Coturnix japonica: one gene and its partner. The protein of the gene in region 1 purifies or fractionates together with the protein of each later gene. This does not show direct contact. Links are inferred from orthologs where the notes say so. Each region holds a gene or a part of one and is shown on either strand. Other genes may lie near its edges. The genes, in order: KIAA0232 and DYRK1A.

Region 1 (4,475 bases):
ATACATTGCTAATACATTGAAAATGTTCACAGCAGCCTGTGTGGAGATCAGTTGGAAGTGGTGCCAATTTTCACCTCACACAAATCGCAGGTGTCCCACATTTTACTGTATTTTATTTCTATCTTCAAAAAGGGAACTCAGATTCCGAGCTTGAAAACAAAAGGAGATGTGATTTTGATTGGCACGGGTCGTATTGCTGTGCTGGTGAAGTGCTTTCGATAAAGCCGTGGAGTGACTCAGCAGAAAACAGTCAGCAGGATATTTCCCCAAGCTTTTCCGTTTTCAGTTTCAGCTCTTCTGAACAAGAAAATAAGTGAAACAGTAATTAAACAGCTCACGGAATGACTCCGCTCTTCCAGCACGGGGTTTGAAGCGCTGCTTTCTCTTCAGAGCACTCCCATAATACTCTGTCAAGGTTTGGAAGAAGCTGTGCTGATTAACTCCATGTTCATATGACACCAATTACTGCCTCGGCAGCATTCAGGACAACGTCAGTAGCTCATGCAGTCACACAGTCCCGCACATTTAACTTTAAAGATAGGTTTATTTGCTCAGCTAAATCAAATGTACAACTAAATGTGGTGCTTGGTAAAGAACAGCTAAAAAAAAAACCAAAACCAATTCCTGGCTAAAAATGAAAATTAAGGAGAAATAAGAGTAATGCTGTTGTCGTGTATCACAAATAAGTACGTGGGTGGGGAGGCAGTGGCCACTACCTTGGCACACATTCGTGGTTTCTATGAGTTTTCATACACAGGTTTAACTCTCTGGAATGCCCACACCCAGCTGCGGGATCATCTTGTCAGTGGGGAGCGTGGTTTCAGCATGGACAGCAGTGGTAGCATGAGCCTGGTTAATGGCTGTGAGTAAAGGGAAAACCCTCAGAATGACACGGTCTGACTTTGGCATCTTACATAATACTGACTTTCCTTGCACCTGCGTGTGCTCATACAGCTGAGAAATGAACAGACCCAACACACATCCAAGAGGGCGTTATTATTTCCCCAATTAAGACGCTTAATTAGCACTGCGGTGTGCCGCCCTCGTCGTATTTTCAGTCTCACCGCGGCCTACTTTCATCCATCCACCACACTAAAAGTGCTGCTCTTTCATCACCCCTCGGTGCACACACAGCTCTGACGAACCCGGCGCTTCATCCACGGGGATAAAAGTTTCTCATCTCCTCACAGCGGCTCCCAATAGCAGCCTTTCATTTCAGCCCGGCTCCCTCACCCACTCTATTCTCACACCGTGCCCTCGCAGTGCCCGCACACGGTGTCACTCCGTCATTATCCCCACTTCCTTCTCCTCCACATTCCATCCCCGGGCTCCTCCCGCCCCTTTTCTCCTCAGGCGCTCCCCCACCGGGCGGGGCCGCAACACCCAGGCGGCCCAAAGGGACATTTCCCGTCCCGTCCCGCCCTTCCTGCCGCCATGCAGCCGCTCTGCTCTCCCTCTCCGCTCCTCTCCCGTCCCCTCAGCCCCGCACTTGGGCGGCGGGATCGGGGCCGCCCTCTGGGCGGAAGGATCCGGGGCGGGGCCTGCGGCGCGGTCCGCCGGGGAGCTGAGTCCTGTTGCCGGGTGACGGAACGGCCGCCTCCCCCCCCCTCCCCTTCTCCCCTCCCTCTCTCCCTCCCTCCCCGTGGCGCTGGGAGCCGCCGCCGCCGCCGGTTTACGTAACGCCTCCCGGGGCAGGTCCCGGCTCCGTCCCGCCCGCCTCACTCGGGGACGGCCGCAGCGGGACGGAGTCCGCCGCCTCCTCCGGCTGCCAGAGGCCCCGGGCCCCCGCGCCGCGCCGCCACGGCAGGTAAAGCCCGGGATGAGCGGCGGGAGGGGCAGGGCCGGGGCGGCGAGGGGACGGGGACGGGGCCTCCATTGCCGCCGCCGCCGCACCGAGGGCCGGGCCCGGCCGGGGAGGCCTCCCTCGCTCCCTCCGTGTGCCGGCGGGAAGCTAGAGGAGGAGCCGCGGGGCCGGGCGGCGGGAGGACGGCTCCACGGGCCGGGCGGGGGAGCGGGGAGTGGAAGCGGCGGGAGGGGAGAGAGGGGCCGGCTGGGGGGTGACAGCGAGCGCCGGCGGCGGGCAGGGCCGGGAGGCGGGGCCGGGGGCCCGGCCCGGGGTGCCCCGGTACGAGCGGCTGGCGGCCGGCCCGGCCCCGCCCGCATCGTTCCGATCCGACCCGCGGGGTCCCGGCGCCAGGTGAAGGGCGGGGGGAGCCGCAGCGCGGGCCGGGCGCACCCGGGGGGGCAGAGCTGGAAGCTGCAGGGCAGAGCTCAGGGCAGAGCTCAGGGCAGAGCTCAGGGCAGAGCTGCAGGGCGGGCGGGGACGGCCGGAGCTCGGTTGGTCGTGACAGCGCAGCGCAGCGCGGGCCCCGCCGTGACCTTTCGGCCGCGCTCCGCCGGCTCCGGGCAGCGCAGCGGGGCTGAGCGCTGCGGCTCGGGGCGGTGCGGGCAGCTCCTGGGCTTCAGGCGGGAGGCGGCCGGCGGGACTCGGAGCCGCTTTTTTCTTTCTCTTCCCCCCCCGCCTCTTTTCTTTCCCCTCCCGGCAGCATTGTCCTTTAGGGGCCTATTGAAGGCAAAAGGCGGACAGAAAGGCTCGGGCTGCCGCCGGCGGGGGGCGGGGCTCGGCTGACGGCGGAGTGACGGCAGCCGCGTCCTATGGCCGCGCGGGGCGGGCCCGGCTGGGCCGCAGCCGCTGGCGGGCGGCGGGCGGGGCGGGGGCCAAGGTTTGCCGAAGGTTACGGCTGAACGCGGCAGCCGTCCGGCCCAGCATCCAGCCCGACGGACGGAGCCGGCTTCACACGGGCTGCGCTGCCCGGAGCGCGGCCACCCTCCTAAACTTTGAGAGAAGTGGGACCGCGGTGCGCTGCCCCGTTTTGTCTTTGTTTTAATGGCTCGTTGCGGTACCTGGCGCTTATGTGAAGGGTGAGGACGGTGCCGTTTGTCCTCTTAAGAGCAGGCATTCCTGCGGTCCCTCGTTTTCCGTCTGTGGGGTTGTAGCTGATAGGAGTGGAGCTGAGGACACTGCGGTGTGTGCAGCAGGTTTCCCTGCCAGCCCTTCGGAATGCTGGGCTTTATGGCCTTTTTTTTTTCGCACGCACGACTTTGTGTCGCTGTGATGAAGAGGAAATTGCAGATCAAATTGGGTGTCCCAGCTGTCACAGGTGAGCTTGCTGTGATTCAGCGGGTAATTGTATGAAGCAAGTTATTTCACCACAGCACCCGATCCCAAGCAATGCAGGCTGCTTGTGGTCCCTGCCCATCTGAAATGGCCTTTCTTAGATTTATTGCTGAAGACAGAAATATTCCTTATAAAAGTAAATGACACGTAACTTGCTCGTTACTTGATGTGTAACTCTGCGGATTTTATTTTGTACTGATCCTCCATCTGCTGCTTCTTGTCAGTATGGATGTGCTAAAATGGTCGTGTACAACCCTTCCCTTGCGATTAATAAAGTTTGTTGTGTGTGTGTGTCAAAATCCCCAAACTCCAGCACTGAGATGCCAGAGAGGAAGTAGATGACATGAATGAAGACAAGCAGTTCCTTATACGTGTGTCATGTCCTCCACGTTCCAAGAATTCTAGGGGAAAATCCTGCTTTGAACTCTGTGTGGAAAACCTCAGCAGTTGCTGTCCATGCCTCGTTGTGTGTAGCAGGTGTTCCCGTGCTGACAGCAATGGAACTTAATCTCAGTTTGTCTGTTTTGTGCACTGTTGGAGGTAATGATGCTTGTAGACTGCGGGTTGTGCAGATTGACATGAGCTACGTGACCCCATGGCCCTTCTGCTCATCAGCAGGTGAATCGAGAGGAAGAGGAGAACAGATTGATATGTGACCCCAGAGGAAAGATAGGAGGTCTTGAACATCTGTTACCTTAATATGCTGATTCCATAGCCTGCACCCCCCACTGCTTTCCCTCTTGTTGCTATTCATTGTTCTTCTGAGTAAGAGAAATTCCATAGGAGTAAAAGGATGTCAGCATTTTCCTTTGCTGCTTTGCTATGCGTTCTAGCAGGAAGAGGGACGAAGTGGGATCTGTACACTGCTTATAACTGAGTGTCAGCTTCCCTCCTTGTCCTTCCTAAGCTGCCATAGTATCACAGAGCCCCAGTAGGAATCCTAGTTATTCAGTTCAAACTGAGCAAAATCATCTGCCACTTCAGACTCTGCTTAAAGGAGCATTCAGAATCGCTTAATGATGGGTATTGAAAGTGGTATATGTTAAATATCACCTCTAAGCCCATCTAAATGATAATATATTCAAAGGTATATATAATTCTAGGGCTTCCTGTAGATGGTGTGAGAAAGAGACCCCCATTTCCATTTACTCCTTTGTAGCTTGCTGCTTTTATTTATTTTGCCCTTTATTCTTCAGACACACCTTGACAGCACATCTTTCATACTTGTCTGGTGGAATAAAGCGAAGCCCCTACAATTCTGCAGTGGTAATAACTTATTAATGTAAGGTGACGAGTG
Region 2 (3,811 bases), on another chromosome or scaffold:
TGCTGTTCAAGCTATGGACTGTGAAACACACAGCCCACAGGTATGCTGAAGTAGAGCTTTTGTCTGTTTGATGTATATATTTTTTCTGAGAGTGTTGAATCCCTGAAACTAATTATATTAGGTTTACATGACAGGGATTCATGTCATGAGTGGAGGGGGGATGCACAGGTGTCGTCTGGGAAAAATCTAGGAGCTGACCCAAGTTAGATAAGAGCAAGCTCCATCTGGCTTAAAAAAGGGACCAGCTGTTGGCCAGAACTGAGCCAAGAAGTGACACTGGTTGCACCTCTGTGGTAGCAGATTCAAGAAAGGGGAAAAAAAAGACTGTACAGCAGCAACTGGGAGAAAGGAATGACTAACTATAGAAAGAAACAGCTCTGCTGGTGCCAAGGTCTTGAGCAGGGGAGGGCAGCATATGCACCAGGTGTGGGTCAGGAGCTCTGCTGCAGCTCCTGGAGAGGCCCATGGAAACCAGAAAAGGTTGTACATACTACTTTGCAGCTGACAGATTCTTTTTCTCCCATGTATGTGATTTAACTCATTCAACAAATTGATGTGTTTCTAGATCTGGCTTACTTTAATTTGTCAGTGAGATCATTAATTGGACATACTTTTATTGTTTGGGAAAAAAAAAGTTCAGAATACAAACTTTTTATATTTAGAAATGTATATTAGAAATGAATAATCATTTCACTATTTGCTTTTCCTGTTAACGTAGGTTCGACAACAGTTTCCTCCTCCGATTGGTTGGACAGCCACTGAAGCTCCCACACAGGTCACTGTTGAAAACCATCCAGTTCAAGAAACCACCTTCCATGTAACCCCTCAACAACAGAATGCATTACATCATCATCACGGAAATAGCTCTCACCACCACCATCACCACCACCACCACCACCATCATCATGGACAGCAAGCCTTGGGTAGCCGGACCAGGCCAAGGGTCTACAATTCTCCAACAAACAGCTCCTCCACCCAGGATTCTATGGAGGTGGGCCACAGTCACCACTCCATGACATCCCTGTCTTCCTCAACTACTTCTTCCTCTACATCTTCCTCCTCTACTGGTAACCAAGGCAATCAGGCCTATCAGAACCGCCCAGTGGCTGCTAATACCTTGGACTTTGGACAAAATGGAGCTATGGACATGAATTTAACAGTCTACTCTAATCCGCGCCAAGAAACTGGCATAGCTGGACATCCAACGTACCAGTTTTCTGCTAATACAGGTCCTGCTCATTACATGACTGAAGGACACCTTGCAATGAGGCAAGGGATTGATAGAGAAGAGTCTCCCATGACAGGAGTTTGTGTTCAGCAAAGTCCTGTGGCTAGCTCGTGACTAAACTGAAACTAAGTTTGTTTCTTGTGTGTTTTTATAGAAGTGGTGTTTTTCCAAAAACAAAGTGCAAAGCTGCTTGAATCAGAAGGAGATAAACTCACTGAACCGCTACAGGAGGGCAAAGCTGACTATTTTTTTAGACTTGAAAAGATTGCAAAGGGACAATGAAGTTTTTTTTGGTTTGGTTTGTTTTTTTAAGAGCCATGTCCGGACCCACCTTAACAGATAGCATAGTAGCGTTCACCTTTCGCTTCCCCCATTTTAACTTGCCACAACCTAGTCATAGTTTGCTTTTTTTTTCTTGGGGACTGGGGAGGGGAGGGGAGAAAGAGGGGTTTTTTAAAATTTTTTTGGTTTTTTTTCCCCCCTTTTTCAGACTCATTCAACAGGGATTATTGTTCAAATGTTAGCTGTAGTTGCAAACTAGTTTCTTTTTAATGGCATTGCACATGATTTACAAAAAGGCCCTTTGAAATTTTTGGGTGGGAGAGGAGTGAATAAGATAAGTGTATTTTTTTTTAGTTCCCCAAACAAACATGGGCACAGAAATGCAGTACTGTAAGAAAGAGGGACCTTCAGATCACACAAATATATATTCTTCAGTTGTAAAAAGGGACGGTTGTAATGGATTTTGTAAGGCACATTAAGCATGATAAGTGGCGGTGATCAGAACTCTCCTTATCTGAATCTACTGAGGATCAAAGCAGCAATTGTAATGGGATTCTGCGTGTCTCATATTTTGGAGACCGCAGTCAGTTAGTGTTGAAATATGACTGGTTTCATAACTAAGGTGCACTGAGAAGCAATCAACGGGTCGGTCCTGGCCAGTCGTGGGGAGGTCTAAGTGGTGGTCTTTGGGATAACCTTTGGCCTTATGGATTTGGACTCTTAAGTTAGAAGAGCCTACCATTTCAGATGCAATCACTTTTGGACATGCTTTTGCAGACGGTCCTTAATGCTGAAAACACAGAGAATGGGTAATTCAAGAGGCCTTTCTTTTAAAATAGACTTTTGTGACCCACTTATTGTAAGGTATTGCAAGGTCACTTTGCGTGTGTCATAAAGTTGACTTCCTTATTGGTTGAAGGTCACAGGAGTAGTGGTTTGCGTTTGATGGAAATAGCTACAACTGTGTCCCTTCCCGCTTTTTACTTTTTTCTTTTGCTTTTTCTTGGCACGTGGTTTCTCCACCATTACTTCTGCACAAAGACGTCTTCTGTTCATCCTGAACATTTTTAAAAATGCAGAATTTTATGTGACTGCTTTTTTGCCTCACAATTATGCTGTGAATTTTACAAAAATTTATTTTCTTTTTTGATAATTTATTGTACCAAAGCTGTTTTTATAGCACATAGATGTCTGTAACCAATAATGTAGCAGTTCTGCACTTTGACACAAGGTGTAACTAGACCATTTTTAAATGTCAGTTGAAAATTATGGCTGTACTATTGCTTAAACAAAACTGGAACTGTTGTTGAATTCATAGCCAATACATTTACAGCAATCTGTGTACTGAACATAATAGATTGACATCTACTTCAAGACTATAACATCTGTTACATTATAAACGTGTTCAGGCTTCTGAAGGTAAAAGGGACGCTAGATCCAGAAGCTATGAAACCAGCAGTTTGATTCTTGTATTCCTTATTAACATAATTGTAAACTTGAAGGCAAGACCTTGATTGCATGAACAGGTCCAAAATAATAGTCTGAGTAAAGCAAAACACTCACATGAGACCTGAGGTTAGAAGGCTGTATTTAACAGGTGCCTAATTTTTGGGTAATGCTGCCTTAATATAACACAGTCAGCTTGGCAGTTGCAAAATTTATGGGCCCAGTCAGAGATTTATTAATATTAGAAGTAAAAGCATGGTGAAAAACATCTGAAAGAATAAGAGTGAGTCAGTGATTGCCCATCCCAGATTAACACTGTTTGCCCATTATATATTACAGAAGCAGTGATCTACCTCTGCCAGTAAGCCCTTTTAAAAGTTAATTCAGCAGAAATTCCGGAGTTCACACTGATCAGTTCCATGTGGCTAAGTAATTTTTTTTCAGACTAAAAGGTGGACTTTTTTATACTTGCAGTAGCAGCACAGCAGCTGAATACCATGTACATGAGAATGAATACTTGGGATTACCTTTTTTTTTTTTTTTTTTTGGTAAATCACGACTTTTTTATCAAGTGATCCATATTTCTTTTCTATTGAAGTGTCAACCCTGTGGATGAAAGTGGGTTGTTTTTTTCCTGATTGTTTTCCTTTCTTCTTAAACTCAGTGATTAAGAGAAGTTTACAGGGATTGGAAAGCTGTCACCTTAAAAACAAAAAGGATACTGAGTTCAGCAATATAAAAAGGAATCCAGTACTTACTGCTGTCTAGGAATATAAGGGTGATATGAAATCTGGGTATTTTTGTGTGCACGGGTTGCCACACCTTAGCAAGCGCCAAAAAACGAAGCAATTAATA

What was found.
Region 2: the proteins of KIAA0232 (region 1) and DYRK1A purify together in Homo sapiens (affinity purification with mass spectrometry; 3 studies listed by BioGRID and IntAct, with this or other methods). This does not show direct contact. The link is inferred for Coturnix japonica from reciprocal best matches to the Homo sapiens genes KIAA0232 and DYRK1A.

The regions. Positions count from the first base shown.
Region 1 is NC_029519.1:72,409,833-72,414,307, forward strand, and holds the start of KIAA0232 (uncharacterized protein KIAA0232 homolog), read left to right. Parts: upstream 1-1,637; 5' UTR 1,638-1,807; intron 1,808-4,475.
Region 2 is NC_029516.1:96,485,209-96,489,019, forward strand, and holds part of DYRK1A (dual specificity tyrosine-phosphorylation-regulated kinase 1A), read left to right. Parts: coding exon 1-40; intron 41-718; coding exon 719-1,342; 3' UTR 1,343-3,811. UniProt on the Homo sapiens protein: Dual-specificity kinase which possesses both serine/threonine and tyrosine kinase activities. Exhibits a substrate preference for proline at position P+1 and arginine at position P-3.